Linked DNA regions of Drosophila melanogaster. The protein of the gene in region 3 interacts with the protein of the main gene of each other region in a pairwise test. Each region holds a gene or a part of one and is shown on either strand. Other genes may lie near its edges.

What was found.
Region 1: the proteins of Pdha (region 3) and Arl2 interact in a two-hybrid assay, tested with the Drosophila melanogaster proteins (one large-scale study listed by BioGRID).
Region 2: the proteins of Pdha (region 3) and vnd interact in a two-hybrid assay, tested with the Drosophila melanogaster proteins (one large-scale study listed by BioGRID).
Region 4: the proteins of Pdha (region 3) and Hsp60B interact in a two-hybrid assay, tested with the Drosophila melanogaster proteins (one large-scale study listed by BioGRID).

Annotation. Positions count from the first base shown.
Region 1 is NT_033777.3:8,339,344-8,342,409, reverse strand, and holds Arl2 (ADP ribosylation factor-like 2), read right to left. Parts: upstream 1,311-3,066; 5' UTR 1,232-1,310; coding exon 1,167-1,231; intron 1,108-1,166; coding exon 753-1,107; intron 750-752; exon of another isoform or gene 695-749; coding exon 560-694; 3' UTR 540-559; downstream 1-539. Other genes in the region: PNKP (polynucleotide kinase 3'-phosphatase), read left to right, coding at 1-539; COX7A (cytochrome c oxidase subunit 7A), read left to right, coding at 1,542-1,586, 1,639-1,890. UniProt on the Drosophila melanogaster protein: GTP-binding protein involved in protein trafficking; may modulate vesicle budding and uncoating within the Golgi apparatus.
Region 2 is NC_004354.4:589,209-597,054, forward strand, and holds the start of vnd (ventral nervous system defective), read left to right. Parts: upstream 1-1,833; 5' UTR 1,834-2,186; coding exon 2,187-2,743; intron 2,744-4,439; coding exon 4,440-5,098; intron 5,099-7,147; coding exon 7,148-7,846. UniProt on the Drosophila melanogaster protein: Probable transcriptional regulator involved in the regulation of the proneural AS-C genes and the neurogenic genes of the enhancer of split complex. Could specifically activate proneural genes in the ventral-most neuroectoderm.
Region 3 is NC_004354.4:4,700,706-4,705,790, reverse strand, and holds Pdha (pyruvate dehydrogenase E1 alpha subunit), read right to left. Parts: upstream 3,467-5,085; 5' UTR 3,260-3,466; coding exon 3,200-3,259; exon of another isoform or gene 3,100-3,199; coding exon 2,899-3,099; intron 2,237-2,898; coding exon 1,672-2,236; intron 1,597-1,671; coding exon 1,274-1,596; intron 1,204-1,273; coding exon 1,021-1,203; 3' UTR 526-1,020; downstream 1-525. Other genes in the region: CG7024 (uncharacterized protein), read right to left, coding at 105-227.
Region 4 is NT_033779.5:726,674-731,079, forward strand, and holds Hsp60B (heat shock protein 60B), read left to right. Parts: upstream 1-1,688; 5' UTR 1,689-1,834; coding exon 1,835-3,781; 3' UTR 3,782-3,891; downstream 3,892-4,406. UniProt on the Drosophila melanogaster protein: Prevents misfolding and promotes the refolding and proper assembly of unfolded polypeptides generated under stress conditions.

The DNA.
Region 1 (3,066 bases), on a different chromosome or scaffold from region 3:
GCGTTCAGGACCAAGTATCTCTGCTTGATCCGGATGACTTGACCCTCGATGACCACCCCTGCGAAATGGTCATCATGGTGGGTCTGCCAGGATCCGGAAAGAGCCACTTTTGTTCCAGCTTTTTTCAACCGCGGGGCTACAAAATCGTCAATGCAGATACATTGGGTAGCACTCAAAACTGCCTGACTGCCTGTAAACGGTTCCTGGACTCGGGCCAATCATGTGTGGTGGATAACACCAATGTGGATGCAGCTTCTCGAAAAAAATTCTTGCAGTTGGCCAGCGAAAAGATGATTCCATGCCGCTGCCTTGTGATGAATGTGCCCGTCGCCCAAGTGAAGCACAATATAGCTTTCCGAGAGCTATCAGACTCCGCGCGCACCAAGATCAAGGACATGGTATTTAACATGATGAAGAAAAAGTACCAGGAACCCGCCCTAGACGAAGGATTTATATCCATACACAAGGTGAACTTTAAGCCCAATTTTGCGGACGAAAAGCAGGAAAAGCTATACAAAATGTACTTGGTCGAGAAATAAGGAAGTAAAATAAATTGTATTTAATCCAAAGTGAATATACGCTTAGCTATATCGGCGATCAACCAGTCCATGGAGCTAAGCAGTTTCTCGCCAGTCACTGCACTAACTCCGGCCACCAGCCAATGATGTGTGGTGATATCCTCTAGGTGTAGTATCTTTAAATATAAAGTATATTAAATGTGTTGTTTCAATAAAAAATCAATGAGAGTGAACCTCTTTAATTTCGTTGGATGAGAGGGCTCCCGGTAGATCCTGTTTGTTGCAGAGAACTAGGAGTGTGGCTCCAGCTAATCGCTCTTCCTGGAGCAGAACTTGCAGCTCCTGGCCGCAGGACTCTAGGCGCATCCTGTCAGCGCTATCCACCACCCAGACCAGACCATCAGTGGACTCGAAGTAGTTTCTCCAGTAGGATCGCAGAGACTTCTGGCCACCGACATCCCACATATTCAGGGTGTAGCCGTTGTGCTCCAAGGTTTTAATATTGAATCCCAGTGTGGGTGAGATGGTGTCTATGGGTTCGCCATTAAAGCGCTTCAGGATTGTCGTCTTGCCGGCATTATCCAGACCTCTATAAGAAAGTCGATACATGAATCACTATTTATTTTTTTATAATTCCATGGAACTCACAGCAGTAATATGCGCATTTCCCTTTCCTTCTGTCGCATCTTTTTTAATACTGTGAGGAAGCCCATGACAACGTCTGTATTTTAGTAACGCTATGGAATTATAAACAAATGTTTTTATTGGCAGCTGCTTAAATTGTTTATTAAACTAAATAGGAATTTCCAGGTGAATGCCAAACTGCTGGAAATATCGACATCGATGTATCGATAATACATCGATATATCTCCAGTTGTCAGCTGTCATATTTCAGACCGATATTTTTCGCCCAGGAAAACTGCTCACTTTTTGCTAAATCTTAAAAATAAACCCCAGCAAAATGATGAACCTGTCGAGAGTAAGTAATTTACATTACTCTACACACCTTTCTGGAGGAACAGCATGAGTTCCGAAACACTGGAGATCCCATTACCTACATCCAATTACGTAAGTTCCCTGGAGCCTCAGAACTAACCGCACATTTTGTACTCCTCGGCAGGCTGTTGTCCGTAGCTTCGCTACCACCGCTGGCCGCCGGTCCGCCGCCGTGCCCAAGGACCAGATCGAGAAGGGATACTTCGAGATCCGCAAGGTGCAGGAGCACTTTCAGAAGAAGGACGGCAAGCCCGTCTTCCTCAAGGGATCCGTCGTGGACAACGTGCTCTACCGCGTCACCGTCGCTCTCGCCCTCGTCGGCATCGGTGGCATGGGCAAGCTTTTCTACGAGCTGAGTGTTCCCAAGAAGGAGTGAAGTCGCAGTACCGAACCCTAAGCTAAGCCATTAAACCCCGCGCAAGATCCGTGATTCAGCGTAGTCGCCTTATATTTCAATGTTTTGATTGTGTAAGTTCCATTTTTTAGAATTTTGTGTTTATGCTAGGTTGCTAAGTTCTTGACATAAAATATGACATTATCCAAGGACAACATTCCGTAAACTATTCCCTGTATTTGTCTAATAAATTTATAGACTATGTTTAAACCTTAAGTTATAATATTTGTTTGCAAACTAGCATCTTAAAGTCTCCGTCTTATACAATAATAGTTTAATTAGGAATTTTATTTGTACAATAATAGATATGTGTAACATGAGAACCACTTGCCTAAGAGATCTGCCATTCAGATACAACATCTATCCCAAAAGTTTGTAACTAATCGCAATCCTTAATCCCTTTATCTTGCAGAGCCTTGCCCTGGATACCTGGACAACATGAAACACCCCAACCTACAACCTGGCTTATTGTTTTGTGTTAGAATAGCTAAGATTTGATGTGTAAACTGAACATTCGCAAGAGCATTTAAAGCGTGGAAATATAAGAGATCTGGCTGTAAAGTAACGAGACTGCTTATTTGTTTTAGGCACGGTCGCTGGCAACGAGATATTTGCCCAAAAGTATTTCCCCTTAATTGCATTGACATTAAGTAAACAAACAGCGGCGACATGGAGCAGAGATCTGGGATGCGGTCGAGACTGGGGAATCGGCTAAGGAAACGGCCTGTTTTATAAATCAAAGGGCGGCAACTCGGCGCGTTGCCATTGGCATGGAAATGCATTTTAAATCGAGCGAATCATGTTGCGCTTTAACACAAGCACAGGCCCATGCACGCCGCCCGTTTATTAATACCCGAGTGCGGCGGAATATGCAATTCATGACGTTTTTCATTAGTTATTCTCCATAAACACTTAAATAAAACTAAAGCATTAAAAATTATGAAAACATCCGCCGCTTTATGCATTTTCCCTGGCATTTTCCACACACTCACAACGGGCAGTGCGTCACGAAACTGTTGTGGAATTTAAGAAATATGTTAGTTATTAAACGAGAAATAATATTTAACAGATAGTTTCCGCAAACAGTTGCATGTTCTCAAGTCTAAGAGTATATTCCCTTATAGAAAACTCGTATAGTGAACTTAGTAAGTAACTTAT
Region 2 (7,846 bases), 4.1 Mb from region 3:
AATTCTACCCCCTCCACTTACCACCTCCATTCCCCCATGGGGAGAATAATGGTGCGAAGTCATGAGCGACAGTGGGGTGCCCACTTTTAGAGGGCGGATGCTCGTGGATAGGGATCATGGAGCTTCCTTCATATACACAACATATATTTATATATATATATATATATATATATATATATATATATATGTATATGCATATTCTGATATATGTATATAGCCCCCAGCCCATATGTAAATGGGGCCAGCCCCAACGGACTCTTGCCATGTTTTCAATTGCCTCGGGCGGATACCCCCAGTTCAGTCTGTCCTGTCGTTTACTGCTCGTGCTGATTATGTATATTCCCATACTTTACTTTCGACCTCCTCGCTCGCACTCTCCCTATCTGTGAGTGTCCGGGGTGTGTCCCGAAGCCACCTCTCAAGGAACGGCGCCATGTATTGGCGTTTGAAGGATCTGCACTAATCACGAGTTGGCTTACGAGTATGAAATCGAAATTCAAATTGCACGAACAGCGACACTCCTTGTACATAAGGCCCCTATGTCAGTGCCAAAGTGGTCTATAACAGTTCCGTTGCACGCAAGAAATTTATTGCAATTCCCAAAGAACGTACCGTGAAGTAAACTAAATGTCCAAGTATAATAGCATACCACTAACACGGCAGAAGAAAATAATGCCTTCGCAAAAATAACGTTCTTTCACCGGTATGGTAATGTGAGAATGCCTTTAAAAGGGTTTTCGCAGTGCGCCTTTTAAGTATTAAAATAATAGTTCGTGGTTCAAAATAAGATTTCGTTGCTGACTAATATAAAATCACAAATATGTGATCAATCCTCCCCAGATCTAATCATGGTTGGTACTCAAAATCTCAAAGTATTACAACCCGACTGGGATTTTAAATGATGAATTGATCTGATTCTTAAATAGCCAACTACATATAGAAAAGGCGAGAGCGTAATTCCAGAAAATTTTTCTTATCGCCCTCGTTCCTCAATAGGATAATGGCTGATATCACCATCTGATATTATCGTGCTAAATGCCGGTCACAATCGCATGTCTTGCCCTGTCCTGTCCTCTCCTTGGACCCACCGCATAGGCGCCACAAGTCGGGGCTGATGTTCCCGCTCCGGAAGTCCAGAGTTGCAGAGAGCTGATAATGATAAATACAATTAAATGACGCGGGGAATGCTGACAACATCAAGTGCAGAGCACTGCTGGAAGAGAACGGCCCAATCCCAGAATCCCTATCTGGGAACGTCAATCCGACGTGCCTGAGGAGGTTCGTGAGGCGCTACAATGGCCTCGCATCCACACTCACTCTCGCGCACACACAAGCAAACATACACAGAGGCTGCAGCACACACACACTCTCACTCAAGTGGCACTCTTGAGAGCGGCAGAGAAAGCAACAGGAAAGAGTTAGAGCGGGATGACGTGCGGCATAAGGACTCGGTTCACATCGTACGTCTCGCTCTGGCGACGAATGGTGGTTGGTTCTCTCGGTGGTTGAATAGGCCACTCACATTGTTGCCGTATCCTTGTTGAAAAGGACATAAGAAGCCACTTAGCGCGCCCAACAAAGCCGAGAGTCTCTCCAGTCTGGCTGTGTGCGTGTGTGTGTTTGTGTATGTGTGTGTGTGTGTGCGACTATCCGAGTATCTGCGTTATGTACCCAATGGCAGAGGGATGCAGATACAGATATGCACCACATACATAGTGATACCCAAAGACACCCCGAGCATACGACCTGGTACTTTTCTGCCGTTGGTTGTTGGGTTTTGGTTATTGGCTGTTCTGAAGCGACTTGGACTCGTGTTGAGTTCTTGATGCCTCGTTAGTTGTTGATGACACTTCAGTTTGGAATGTGTAGAGTGCGCTGCTCCGCGGACCCGTGCAACTGAGAAATCGAGAAACGACTCGCGACCCTTGAACTATCGAACTTTCCCGGTGATAAACTTAAACTTAAGCCTAAATCGAACTATGTCTGGAATTTAAGTTGCCCTACCAGGATACCCGCTTAATTCATCGCAGTGCTACCCAGTAACTACACATAAACATATTTTTTTTCCGTGCTCCGAACACCGTAAAAGCTCCAAAGTGGCGGAGAAACGCAAAAGTCCGCCCACGCCGCCACCCGCGTCGCAGCGTAGTAAATCAAACAGTGGTTCCCCGATATCGCAAAGCGATATGACCACGTCGGCGTCCTTGGAGAGGACCCCCTCAAAGCGGGATCGAGATCGCGAGCGGGACAACAGCAGCGGTCTGGGCAGCGCTGGCAGCTTGCCCGCATCGCCCCAAAGCGCTATCACGGTGAGTCCGTCCTCCCCAGCCACGCCGAAGCGCCCGCTGCGCACCTCAACGCCCTCGCTGGAGCGGAAGAGGGAGCGTGAGGATCGAGAGGACCGGGAGGATCGCAAGGAGCGGCAGGAACGGCACGAGCGAGACAGAGATCACGAGAGATTCGCCGCAGTCTTCAGCACCGCCAGCACCACCGTGCCCACGAACACAAGTTCCAGTTCCGGATTGGCGCCCGAACAGCTCCGCATTCCGACGGGTGCAGCCGCCTTCAGCGGATTTCCGGGGCTCCACAGCATGAGTAGTCTTATGCTTCCATCGTCGGCGGCTGTGGCCGCCGCAGCAGCGGCCCCGTTTCTGCCCTGGTCGCCCATCCTGCTGCCGCCGTGGAACCACGCCCTCCTACCAGCCGCCTTTTATCCGGCGGCCCTGCGAAACGCTTTGCCTGGGTAAGCACAAGGATTCCAATGGAATAATTAAAACATTGATACCTCTGGAGTGGTGAACACAAACCTATGATTCATATGTCTTGGTTACGAAAAGCATATTTTGGTGATACGTTGACACAAGTCCATTCTAGTTCTTCTAATTATGACCTCTGTTTTGTGGGCTATTTATAAACGCTTAAGCATTGGTAACACTTTGATGGCATGGATCTGGCCAAGATATGGATAATAAGGACATGCCTCAGATTGAAACAAAATTACTGACCACCGACAATACGTTTGCCTTTCATGGCTGACCACTTTGTAAAAAACAGATATGGTTTTCAAGGTTTTGGGTTCCCGATTAATTTTCTATGTCTTTCTATTAATTCTCCTAATCTAATAATTTGGAAGATTGGGCGTTGAAAGCAGAATCTGCAGAATACGCAAGACCATTAATTAATTCTCCTAATCTAATAATTTGGAAGATTGGGCGTTGAAAGCAGAATCTGCAGAATACGCAAGACCAGCCATACTTTGCAATTGCCTTCGCCTAAGCTCCGACTTAAAATCACACCCTGCGAGCCTCTGCCTCCATATTAGTGTTTAGATCCCATATAGCTGATGGACTTGTCCGGCTAATCCTGGTAGCTCTTTAAATTAACCAAGCGGGCACAGCGCGCAAGTACAGGACACAGGGTATAATTCCCCGCCTCTTTGATCTGGCAAGTACTCAAGGTCCTGGCGAATGGCGGTTGGGAAATTCTGGCTTGTTGTTCGACCCTGGCTTAGAAATTCCCGTAGGTGAGAGCCAGGGAAACCCCAATCGGGAATGACATGTGTACGACAGACATGGGACTCAGATGCCTTCGAGATACTGGCGTCACACTGTCTGGCAATGGGATTTCCGCTCAGGAGGACGGGGAATGCCCGTGTAGCCTGTCCATAGCGTGGGAAATTCGCGAGTCGGGGTCTTCGGGAAAACTCGAAATGGGAAAACCGGAAGCAAGCAAACTTGCGCCAACATGTGGCACGACCTGTTTCGACCCGTAAAGAGTCCCTGCTGACCTGTGCTGACCTGCACTGACCCGACCAGGTAGCTGCGATCCTTACGAGGCGGATTTGCGTTTAATTGTTGATGGTATTAGGCAAATCAAAACTCGGGGTCTGACCGGGACTAGGTGTCAATAATCCAGCGATTTGGGTGCACTTATTCAAAGTTAATTCCGGGGGAAATGTGCGCGTTTTCGGTTCCGAAGCATGCCTGCAGGATGCACACCCCCCACCTCCTTATCTTCTTAACAACGGCAAGTGCAAAAATCTGTGAAAGTCAGAGCGCTACAGGTAGTGCAGGTAGTTTCCTTTGCATATCCCGACCAACAGGGACCTCCTTTTGTTAAACCTTCCGGCCATTCACACGATTGACACAGGATGTCGCTGCAATAAGCATGAAACAGGGAAAAATCGTTCCACGTCCTCTAAGGAGCCATCTTTATACTCGGGGAGTCATTAATCACTCGATTATATGACAATTTGCCGGGACAATTAAGAAACTACACAGAATCTCAAGAAAAACTATTACAACTCATCTTTGGTATGCTTTTTGCCTTTTTTTCTTTAAAACTGTAGGCGAGTGCTCAATTGAAATGAGAAATAAACATTTAACTCAAATTTTTAGTGTTGAAGTTCAGTTAGAATTAACATATTGATCTCCTTGCAGCTTATTCGATGCAAAGGTGCCGTCGTCCCAACGCTCTGGCTTCCATATATCGGACATCTTGAATTTGGAGGGCTCTGAGCTGAAGAATGCAGCAGCTGCCGCCGCTGCTGCCGCCCACCATGGCAGCGATTTGAGTCACCACTCGGCCAGTGAGTCCACCAGTGGACATCGCGGCCAGGGATCTCACACCTCGCCTTCGGCGCTGTCGCCCACGCCAGCGGGCGTTTCCGCGGACGAGCACCACAATGGCAGCGGGACTGGGGGAGGAGCGGGAGAAGCGGATCACCACAGCACCACCGAGCATCACGCCCCTCCTAGCCATCCGCAGCAACAGCACCCGCACCACCAGCAGCACCACCACCCTCACCTCCTCCTCCCGCAGCAGCACCATCAGCAGGCGGTGGCCCCACTCCCTTTGGCGCACCATCAGAGCGGCGAAGCCCAAAGCCACGCCCATGCCAATGCAGCCGCCGCCCATCTGCTGGCCAGCCACAATGCAGCGGCTGCGGCTGCTGTGGCCGCCGGCCAATATCTGCCCAACCTGCCCAAGAACTTCCCGGGGAGCTTTGGCGACGAGATGTCCTCGTACCACCACATGGCCCAAACCATGCTGCAGCACTCGGGCAGGAGTGCGTGGATCAAGGAGAACGAGCTATACGGTGAGCGAATGTTTCAACTCATAAATGGATACGCATGTATCCATTTTCATTTGCTCCATTTCCAGGAGATAGCTCCTGGCCATATCAATAACCAAGTTAGAGTTGGCTTTTTGAAGAAGCAACACTTAAATGGCAGGTTGTAAGCAAGTCTTTGGATCCCAAACAAATATCCTTTTGAATCGTGGGTAGGCAAAAGAGCAACGAATTAACTTGGTTTCAAAATAGACTCATCAATGAAGTCCGCAGGAAGCTCCCTTTAAGAAATTTACAATTTTCGACTGCATTTAACCCCCGATTAACTGGCCGACTAATGATACTGTTCCGTAACTAACCACTCACTGCTCCCGAGAGCCAGAGAGTTGAAGCAGTCGAGCGATGAGGCAGCTGTATTTGCATACCCTGTGGACTCGACGGATTCACGTGCTTCCAGGGTGTGACAAGCTTTGTTTAATTCTGGCCCTGTTGTGTTTTATTTTCGTTGGCAGTTAACTGCGGATCGAAATGGGTATATAACTGGGAATCAAGGAGCAGGGGTTGGGCTTCCCCTTTAATCATGACTAATAGTTTGTATGCGCTTCACACTTGAGGATTAGCCCTGTTGTTTTTCTGGCAGTTGACGTCCTTCGTGTCCTTCGGCCAGGACATTCAATCGCTGCCCGCTCGATCGCTTCTTGTTGTTGCGGCCCAAACATTTCTCATCCTGGAAATTTATGGCACGCACTTCCGCCTCATCCCTTCCCACTTCTGTTATTATTCCTTTATTGTTTAGCTACAAATTATAGCTGCTGCCCACTTGCCGTTTTTTTATTTTCTCTTTTCTGCTCTTTTTTTGGGAGTTTCCACAGCTGTGAAGGAGTCGAGGAAGAGTCATTTTGATTATATTAAGTTATTAATTTGTTGAGTTGTCATGGTGAGCGCATGGCTTCCGTGGCAGGGCAAATGCGGCTAGCTCGGTGGGAGCTGATAGGCGAGCATTAGGAGCTCCTACGACCCTTGCATTTGTTGTTTTATCAATGTCCCACGGGGACATCACCCCGGGCAGGTGAATACACACATTAGAAGACATTTTATGAAATACATTGCAATAGGAATAGAAATGCAGATAGGACGCGTTCCGATTCTTTGGAATGCTGCCTTCGCAGCACTATATCCAAAAGTTCGAAAGCTAGGAAGAACTAAAGGGCTTCTTTTTGATTTTCTATAGTTACATGCCTCGTTTGAAGTTGCCTGAATACTGGCATAAGCCCACTTCTAATACCTCTGCAACCGCAGATCCCGCCCCAGAATATCAGAAATAGCCACACCCGGCGATAAATCACTAAATCACTATCTGTTGGAAGTTCGGAACTCTTGCGAAAGGGGGCGAACCGGAAGAGACCCGGCTACCATTGATGTGTTTGAGGTCTGGCTTTTGTGTCGTTGTCCCATTAGTATCCTGGTTGCTGGTTTTTAGTACAGGCCCAGGATCAGCAGTCATTCAGCGAGAGATCGAAGCGATCGTTTCAGGTAGACGACAAGGGAATACCCACCTAGGCATGTATTTTTGTATGTATTTGTGTGCGATCTCTGTTTGTCTCCGCCTAATTGGCGTTGTTAGGGTGAAGCTCGTAGGGGATGGGCAGGGGTTGATTTGACGCTGCGGACCATAAGGAGTGCATACATCTGGCATTTGACATTTGGATCGTTTCCGACCACAGCTTCATGTTGCGCCTAATCCAATTGCCGTAGTTGCGATACTGACTTCCCCCTTTTGTCCCGAATTCTGCATGATCACTTGGACGATGTGGAGGGGTGTGTCGCTACATTAATTTACGGCTAAAGAGGTTTCTCAATTGCTGACAAATTCCCACCCAGGGCTCGCACCCTGCCATTGCCTTTCCATTCTGTAGGACCATTGTGAAAAATGCAAATAAATAAATGGCTATCCCAAGCAATTTATTCCTCAATTAGCAGCATATTAAGAAGGGAGTTTTCTCCCGGTTTTAGCCATATATCTACTACGAAGAATTAGCACATTAACCAAAACCTTGATTTCCTCTTTGATTTCAGGTACCCAGCAGCCCGCCAGTCCGGATAGCACCTCCCCAGTTACCTCGGAAGTGTCGTACACCTACATTGGTTCCAACTGCCAGACATCGCCTGCCCTTTCCGGCGATTACAAGAGCTACAGCCGGTCGGCCGATAGCGATGCACTATCCGTGGGCGACGCCCTGCACACCCTCCATGGATCCTCTGGTAATGGAAGTGCCGGAGGCGCTCCGACGGCCCATGCCCTACACAACAACAATAATAATACGACAAACAACAATAACCACAGCCTGAAGGCCGAGGGGATCAACGGAGCAGGCAGTGGTCACGACGATAGCCTCAACGAAGATGGCATCGAGGAGGATATCGACGACGTGGACGACGCCGACGGCAGTGGCGGCGGGGATGCAAATGGATCCGACGGTCTGCCAAATAAGAAACGGAAGCGACGAGTCCTGTTCACCAAGGCGCAAACATATGAGCTGGAACGTCGGTTTCGACAACAACGTTACTTGAGTGCCCCGGAACGCGAGCACCTGGCCAGTTTGATCCGCCTGACGCCGACCCAGGTGAAGATCTGGTTTCAAAACCATCGCTACAAGACGAAGCGGGCGCAAAACGAGAAGGGCTACGAGGGTCATCCTGGTCTACTGCACGGCCATGCCACCCATCCGCATCACCCCAGTGCCCTGCCATCGCCCCGTCGGGTAGCCGTTCCAG
Region 3 (5,085 bases):
GTACATAATTTAATTCAAAATGAAAAATATAACTTTTACGATATAGCTTTTTTCAATGGTATTTACTTATCCATTGACCTTCTTGTGATAATCAAAACACTTACGTTCTCCAGGGTCAAACAGCTACATTTGTGGCGCCCTATTATCCTGCAGAGCATATTTCTCTCGAGGATGGAGTGGGCTCCACTGCATCTCATCGCCACGCGGACACAACTGAACTTCATCATTGGCCCTTGCCCGAATACCAATTCCCAAACACCGGGGCACTAAAATGAGCTTGTAGCCAAATGGGCAATTGCCACGCACTAAAATTTTGAATATGATCGGAAATTGTTGAAAAATGGATTTGTACTCAACCGAAAAGAAATCGACAGTAAAATCATAAGCAAATCGACAGAGATGGCAACTGTCACTAAACAGAACGAGAAGGAAATATAACGATTTTGGGATTGCTTATGGAGCTGACAACTGCTCCTTTTCAAATACTACTTTGATTCGAACTGTAATTCTTCCACAAATCGAATTATCTATTAAATCTATTCCGTTTATTAATATCTTATAAATCTATCAAAATTCTATAGTGCAAGTATAGGTGAAACAGACTGAGATTTTCACATTTCAAAAGTACATACTTGATTCACTTTTGTTAAGAAAACTAATTTGGATTAATTTTTCTAGATTTTTATATTTTCAACAATTTACACCTCGCTTTATCCTTATTGAACACGTTCGCAATATAATATCCAATGCAGTACCCCAGAGTTATGTGGTGCGCTACGATGTGTGGTTGGAGTGCTCCGATTAGCTAAGCTTTTTGTGGGTCTCTTCGGATCCGTTCCGTTCTACGGGGTTCTCATCGTTCAACTTTCGGCTTATGATCTAGAGATTTCGCTTGTGTCCAAGTTTCTGAGTTATTGTGTCTTCTTGTCTGTCTGTCAGTGATTTGTGTTTGCTGTTCGGTTTTCTTGTTTCGTTTAAGGTTCTTGTGAGTTCCCGAATCAGATTCGTTGGCCCGATGACTTAGTGATTGACGCCCTTGCGCTCCTGGATGTGATCAATATCGTAGGCGATGGTGCCGCGCAGCTTGGGCTCCAGATTGTTGGAGTACACGTCCGTCCAGAGGTGGCTCACGCCCAGCTCGGCATCGGACTTGGCGAAGGCGGTGGCCTCGTCGACCTCCTTGCGTACCTTCAGATCGATGGCCTGGAAGATGTTTTTTTCTTTTAGCAATCATAACTCATAACAAAAATAAAACCCTATAAGCCAAACCCACCTTAACTTCATCGGTGGTAATCAGACCCAGCTCGATGCACAGCTCCTTGAAGGAGGTGATGGGATCACGCTTCTGGCGCACCTCCTGGATCTCCTCGCGTGTGCGGTACGATGTGCCCGGATCGGACATGGAGTGTCCAGAGTATCGGTACGTGTTCGTCTCCATCACCAAAGGTCCGTGAGTGTTCACATAGTTGATGGCGAACTCGGTGGCGCTGCGCACGGCCAGCACATCCATGCCGTCCACCCAGATTCCGGGCAGAGCGTCGCCGCGGGTATAGTAATCAGTGTTGCAGGAAGCACGCTCAGAACTGGTGCCCATTCCTAATGGGTATAATTATACAACATTTGGTTTAAGTAAATATCTTTTAGCATTGTTCCACTTTCTACAGCACTCACCGTAGTTGTTGTTCTCGCAGACAAAGATCACAGGCAGTTTCCACAGGTAGGCCATGTTGTAAGCCTCGAACACCTGTCCTTGATTGGCGGCACCATCACCGTAGAGGGCCAGGCACATGCCGCCATTGCCCTTGTACTTGCAGGCCAAGCCAACGCCGGCACCCAAAGGAACTTGAGCACCCACGATGCCATTGCCTCCGTAGAAGTTCGGTGCGTACATGTGCATGGAGCCACCCTTGCCGCGGGCACAGCCACCCTGGACACCGGTGAGCTCAGCCAGTACGCCGCTGGGTGAGACGCCCATCAGGTAGGTCCATCCGTGGACACGGTACGCCGAGATGATGTTGTCCACATCCCGCATCGCCGCCTTCATGCCAACGGCGCATGCCTCCTGGCCGGAATACAGATGACAGAAGCCGCGAATGATCTTCTCCTTGTACAGATTACCGGCGGCCGTCTCCAACCGACGGATCGTCTGCATCTGTGTGTAGTACTTGAGGGCCTGATCCTTGGTCAGCTTCACTTCCGTGGCGGGTCCTTCGTCCAGGCGGTGCAGCTTGAAGGGCTGCAAAGTTGGAAAGCATATTTAGAATTTAGATCCCTAAACTTCATTAATTTTAAAAACGTTTTCTACTTTTACATTAACAACTGACACACACATCTGATAAGAACGTAACGGAAACGTTTGGAACGCATGATAAGTAATAAAATGATAGCAGTTTGATTGGATAAACCAAATAACCATAGGCTTCAAGCTTCTCTAATCAAAGTATACTAATCTATAGAGAGCTATAACCACATATCGAGGATTTTCGGAAGTATGCTCCAAAAACCAAATTTGGATTTATGGCGGCTAATTTATGGCGTGAGAATCGACGTAAACAGAGAGCCAGACAGACAGACGGAGAGAAAGAGAGAGAGGGTGAAAATCGGCGGATCGTTGATAAGACTATATGTTATATGGTGCGTGAACAGTCACGCGTCGGCCACGCAAAAGGCAGACGGTGATAAAGAGCGTGGGAGACGGAAAACTACAAATTACTGCGTGACCTTGTCATTTGAAAATGAGCGGATTGACCGGCAAAATGCAACCCTGCACTTACACACACACACACACACACGCAAACCGTTTGCTATCTGGCGAAAATCGCATTATGTAACCGTATTTTTTCCCTTCCGACTTTTGAATTTTCCTGAGTTACAAGTACTTAATGCTATAATACGCACCCGATTCACTTGAACGGTGGCCTCCGTGGCATAATTGTTGGTTTTCGAAACACCTGCTTGGGCTGCATTCTGGAATAAACCGAAAAACGACGATGAATATCTCCCATTCCTGATGATATCGATGCTGCTGTTGTTGTTGTTGTTGCTAAGTATCCGACATCCGCTGATGATGATGTTGTTGTTGTTGTTGTTATGGCAACGCTTTTAGTGTTTTCATTATCGAATGGATTTGTTCAATTGCATTTTTAGTGACAACAATTAGAAATGTTAGTGGGTGCAAAGCGGGATTGGGATTACGTACTTTTTGCAGTTGCTTAACAATAATGGGCAATTCGCTAACGCGTGACAGAGTACGCAACATTTTCGCTGTGTTATTCTCGTTCGACTGACAGAAATTGGATGTGAATGGGGGCTTTCTATATGCGGATTGTCCGGATCTAGAATCGCACGCTATATATCTGGTGTCTCAGTCGCACCGCCGCGCGTCGTTGTAAGTTAAACAATCGGAAAAAAAGGTAGCGAGATTAGTTTATCAACTACTATATTGCACAACTATAACAACCGTTTGGCGTTATAGCGAAAAATAACGCACCACTTGGCCTATTAGTGTGACCCTAAATAAAATACTGCAGCTTTCCCTGTTTTCAAAAAATACTAAATTAGCTTATCGAACTTTCTTTTTCAATATAACTTGAAATATAAATGTTTACGTAAAATATTCAATAAGCTTTTATATAATGTGTCACACAATGTTATATCAAAATAATAGTAGTGTTTGGCGGTTATTGAAATACTCGAATAAATACTTACTCAATCACATTTTATATTACTTTGCCGCCCAAATAAAACGAGGGTTTTCAAAGAAGTACTTTTATTTCACATTGAAGATCTCATTTGGTTTTTGTTTGCTTTCTCATTTCTTACTCGTATTGTTACTTGAAATTGCCTCCATAAATCCACATTTGCGATTGCAGTTGCAATTGCAATACTGCTCTATATCGCACTCAGCTCACATAATTCACTAATCTCTTACAAAAACTTAAGTAATGTTTGTTCCTTGCACAAAAAACCAGTTAAATAGAAATAGGTAAAGTAGAATTAAACAGTTAAATTCAAATAAACGCTTTACAAACTAAGATTTTAAACTAGTTTTTGTATTTGTTGGTTTCTCGGTTTGTTGTTTCATTTTTTTTTTTTTGCTTTAGAAATGGCAGCTAAAAGATTTGAGTTTAAAAGTTACTAACGGAAAATGAGGAAATGGATCGATCGTTTGGGAAAAACTAAGCGAATGAAATAAATTTTTTACTTTCTTTTATCTATCTTTTGCTCTGTTACCGTTACACATATTCAATTTTTCGCGCGTTTTTCTGTTACATCAAAAATTGGTTTCTCACACAAATATTTTGCATTATGACAAAAAATTATGCTTTGCTTTGTTTTTTGTTTTGTTTCATATGTATACATGTACATGTATATATATATATATTTGTATGTATAAACACTTATTAGAAGTCCTGTTGTGTTTTTGTTTCCTTTCCCGTTAGAAATCCGGCATTCCGATTATAAGAAAAAAATTTAGTTTTTCTCTTCGTCTTCTTGTTTTTGCGAGTGCTTGTGTGTGTGTAAGTGGGGGAGGTGTGTGTGTGTGTGGGTGAGAGAGAGAGAGGAGGTTCTATCTTACCGTTAGCATAAATAGTTTTGTGTCTACGCAAAAACGTGCTGAGCAATAATCTAAAACGCAATAGCTAAAGAGAGAGAGGTGCTGTATGTGTGTGAAAAGTAACGGTAAATGTGTGTGATTTCTGCATATGTCTTCTGTTGTTTTCAGGAAATTACGTATTAAGCTTCTTATTTTTTTTGGTTGTTTTTAGTAGGTTTTACTTAGGTTCTTGCTTAATTTACACCAATGTTTACTTTATTTTGTATTTCTTGCATGAATATATATATTTACTTTTTGGTTTCCTTGTTTCTTATTACTGTTCGCTTTCATTCCTTGAAATTTGCCTTTAAATTGTTACTGTTCTTCTGTTTTATATAACATAAATCCGATTCGGAGAAACACATAGCACACACTTATATAAACGACAAGATGATAATTATTTATTTTGTCTTTGCTTTTGCTTTCGACTTTCTCCGCCTTTTTGTTTTATTACTGCTTGCACACCACCCTCATGACCTCCCTAACCT
Region 4 (4,406 bases), on a different chromosome or scaffold from region 3:
AAACTAGGGGGGCAAAGGCTAAATTGAGGCTAAGCTTTAGCTGCCTCATTACACTCAGAAATATGCACTAACAGCTAGCGTATGGCCAGAATTGAAACATGACACACACATTTTATATGCCCGTTAATTACTGTAATTCAAGATCAAAATTATTGGCCATTTAAAATTGTTGAACCTGATAATTTGCTATGACGACCACCAAATTATTTATTTTAGTGCAGTTCATCGATAGATCGCTCCCATCAGCTCAATCTGCACTTGGCTGCCCCAGATCCCAGATCCAGGAATTTCGTCTGCCTGGTACTTACGCAAATGCTCAGATTGAACTGCCAGTCTATCGTCTGCAGTCTATCCATTTCTCATTAAAACTTTCTTTGCTGTCTGCTCCACAATTACCCGAACGACTTCATCTGCTCGATCCACGGATCCATCCGCGGGTAATGACAGAGCCGGCAAAAAATCTGCCAAAACCAATAGGAAATCATCAGCCAACGGTCAGTGGGTTAATTTTGGCCCACCAAAAATACTGAAATGAATTGGAGAATCCCCGAAGATGGCCTGCAATTAATCATAGATTGAGGCTTATTCGCTATCCAGCGAAAGTAATTTGTAGCCGACAAGAGACCCTGCAGATCGCTTGTAGTTACGATTATCGCACAGCCCACCAGGTGGTCTTCCCACCATGGACACTTTCACATGTCGCAGAGTTGGCGCAGATGGGGAGAAAGGTTGCGAGAGGAAGAAGAGTCGTCGAACATGCAAATGCCTCATCAATCAGCTCCTCCGCCCTTCCCCTTCAAATCGGTGACGTGCTTTTGACACAAAACCCGGCTACTGTGCTACCGCTTGCACATGGCAATCAACGCGTCAAGCGGCCAGGAAACGGATCCCGATTCCGACCCCAGTTCCAATTCCCGTCTGCGGCACACAGAAAAAAGTTATACCTACTGAACTAAATGTGACATTATTTTATACGTATAGAATACGAGAGATAGCTCATATAAATCGCATTGAATTTATATGCAAACCTATTTCTAAACATTCATACCTAAGTGCAATTCATCGTGCGAAAGTAATGCCTTCTTGCGCGCTGTGCACCCAACATTTTCATCCCATCTCCATTTCCATCTCCGCCTCAAACTCCCCATTTCCATTTCCATTTGCCGTTTGGCTTGCAGCAAAATGTGTGAATTTCTTTAGTTTGCAGTAGGCAGCACACAATTTTTGACAGCTGCCTTCGAAATGGGAACGGTCAGCCGAGGAAAATGCATCCATCCTCCGGTGCAGAACAGTCGCACCGCAGTTCTGGGAAATCTGCACACGCTGGTCTTGTTTGTGGGTCAGCCTCAGCCGATGGAGGCGAATAGAACTGCAAATGGGCAGACTCCACCCAGAATGTCGGGGCTTATTAGCTGCACGCTAATTTATTCCGGCAAACAGAAGGCACGGCTTCTGTTGTCGAAGATTTCAGAGCCGCAGATCGCAGACGGGCAGGCGCCAGACAAATGAATGTTGTGAAATCTGGCGATTGCCTGGAAACTTGTCCGCAAAGAGAAAAAAGAAAAAAGAGAAAAGTGCTCAAGGAAAAGCAATATAAATAAAGAAGAATGGCTTGCACATGTTACATAAAACGAGAAGCTTAAAGATAATGGAAACAAAATTTGGATTTGAATATGGGAGTAGGCCTTGAACGAGTCCGTCTAGTCCGTCAGTATCGAGTCAACAACCTACATATTAGTTGCACTCACTTCGTGTCTGAGATCAAACGAAAAAATATTAGAACCAAAAGTTTTGAAAGTTTTTTTTTTATTATAGTTTCAAACTTAAGTGCAAAATGTTTCGGTCGTGTGTGCCCAAGGCGATTACCTCTAGTCGCTGTTTCGCGCGGATGTACTCGAAGGACGTGCGCTTTGGCTCCGGAGTACGGGCAATGATGATCCGGGGCGTTGATATTCTGGCTGATGCCGTTGCTGTGACCATGGGGCCCAAGGGTCGCAGTGTGATCGTGGAGCGACCATGGACCTCGCCGAAGATCACCAAGGACGGCTTCACGGTCGCGCGCTCGATTGCCCTAAAGGACCAGCACATGAATCTGGGCGCCAAGTTGGTCCAGGATGTGGCCGATAATACGAATGAGTCGGCGGGTGACGGCACGACCACAGCAACAGTTTTGGCTCGAGCGATTGCCAAGGAAGGATTCAATCAGATTACCATGGGGGCTAATCCCGTGGAGATTCGTCGAGGTGTCATGTTAGCTGTTGACGTCGTAAAGGACAAGCTGAAGGAAATGTCCAAGGCAGTGGAAACGCGTGAGGAGATCCAACAAGTAGCCACCCTCTCCGCGAACGGGGATACTGAAATTGGGCGGCTCATTGGTGAGGCCACCGACAAAGTGGGTCCAAGAGGAACTATTACTGTAAAGGATGGCAAGCGCCTGAAGGACGAGCTAAATATTATCCAGGGCCTGCGCTTCGACAACGGCTATGTGTCGCCCTTTTTCGTAAACAGCTCCAAGGGGTCCAAGGTGGAGTTTGCCAACGCCCTTGTAATGATATCCCTGAAGAAGATCACTGGACTCTCGCAAATAGTTAAAGGTCTGGAGCAATCCCTGAGGCAGCGTCGTCCCCTGATCATCATAGCCGAGGACATCAGCGGGGAAGCCCTCAATGCTTTGGTCCTGAACAAGCTCAGGTTGGGCCTCCAGGTGTGCGCCGTCAAATCGCCCAGCTATGGACACCACCGCAAGGAGCTTATAGGCGATATATCCGCTGCCACGGGAGCAACTATTTTCGGCGATGACATCAACTATTCCAAAATGGAGGAGGCTAAGCTGGAGGATCTGGGTCAGGTTGGCGAGGCTGTGATTAGCAAGGACAGCACCATGCTCCTGCAGGGCAAACCCAAGACAGGACTTTTGGAAATGCGCATCCAGCAAATTCAAGATGAACTGGCGGAAAAGCAAATCAAGCCAGAGCAGCGGGATCGTCTGCGCCAACGCCTCTCCGCCCTCACGAAGGGCGTGGCAGTGCTGCACATTGGTGGAGGCAGTGAAGTTGAGGTGAATGAGAAAAAGGACCGTGTGGTGGACGCCTTGAATGCCACTCGAGCGGCCATCGAAGAGGGAATTGTCCCAGGTGGCGGTACGGCCTTTTTGCGCTGCATTCCCTACCTCCAGGAACTCAAAACGGAGAGTGCAGATCTCCAGAAGGGCGTCGATATCGTCTGCAATGCCCTGAGGATGCCTTGCCAGACCATAGCTCAAAACGCCGGAGTTGATGGCCCAATGGTGGTGGCCAAGGTGTTGAATGGCTCGGAAGACTACGGCTACGATGCCATGGGCGATGAGTACTGTCGGCTGGTCGAGAAGGGCATTATTGATCCCACAAAGGTGCTGCGGACCGCCATCACGGATGCAGCTGGAGTGGCCTCTCTTCTGAGCACCACCGAGGTGGTTATCACCGACTCCCGGAACGATGATCTTTTGTCCAAGTTGTCAGGAGCTGGCGGCGGAATGGATGATGGACTGGACATGAACATGGGTGGCTTAGAGGAGCTGGCAGCCTTAAGTGGATTGGGTGGCATGGGTGGTATGGGAGGCATGGGTGGTATGGGAGGTATGGGAGGAATGGGAGGTGGATTCGGCGGAATGGGCGCTGGTGGCGGAATGAGCGCTTCTGCCAGCAATGACGGTCCCACTGCCGAGGAGATGAATGAAATGGTCAAGGCTATTCCCGGCATGGAGCAAGTAGAGGTGCGTGACATTGACAGTGGGATGATGTAGAACCCGCTTCCGTTATCCGCTCCAGCTCAAATCGTTTCTATAGTTCAAATATCTGTTGAGTGTCTAAATTTTATGTGTTCATCTAAAATATAAATTGACAATCGAAAACGAATTGTATAAAACAGTCGGGAACCCTTCCAAATGACTTGAGAAAGTGAATTATTGGCCTTTTCCCTACACCAGCAGTTTTCTGGCCAAATATCTTTCAACCGGTTCATTATGCTGGTCTGCAAAAAGCTACACTTCCTTCACACTTTCGGTTTTTAATTGCAGCCGAAAATTTGGAACGGCGACCGGCAGAGCGAATCCAGCTGCAATGCGATGATCATTTGCATAAAACAAACAGCAATTTCTCACACATGTGAGCCGACCCTCGGTTTTTTCCCCCGTACTTTGCATGGTTTGTGTTTGCAGATTTCATTTGTGGCCCGCAGCTAAAAAAGCGATTCGTTACATGAGAGTGAGTGCGCAAGAAGGGGGGCCTGAGGCTGGGAGCCTCCACAAGAGCGTCACATCAAACATGCATCAATAAATAAGTAATTCCAATTTGCAAATTTTTCATCGAGGCCCGCAAACGAACCGAAAATGGTGGACGGACCCATCGAGCATCGAGCGTGGGCCAGGG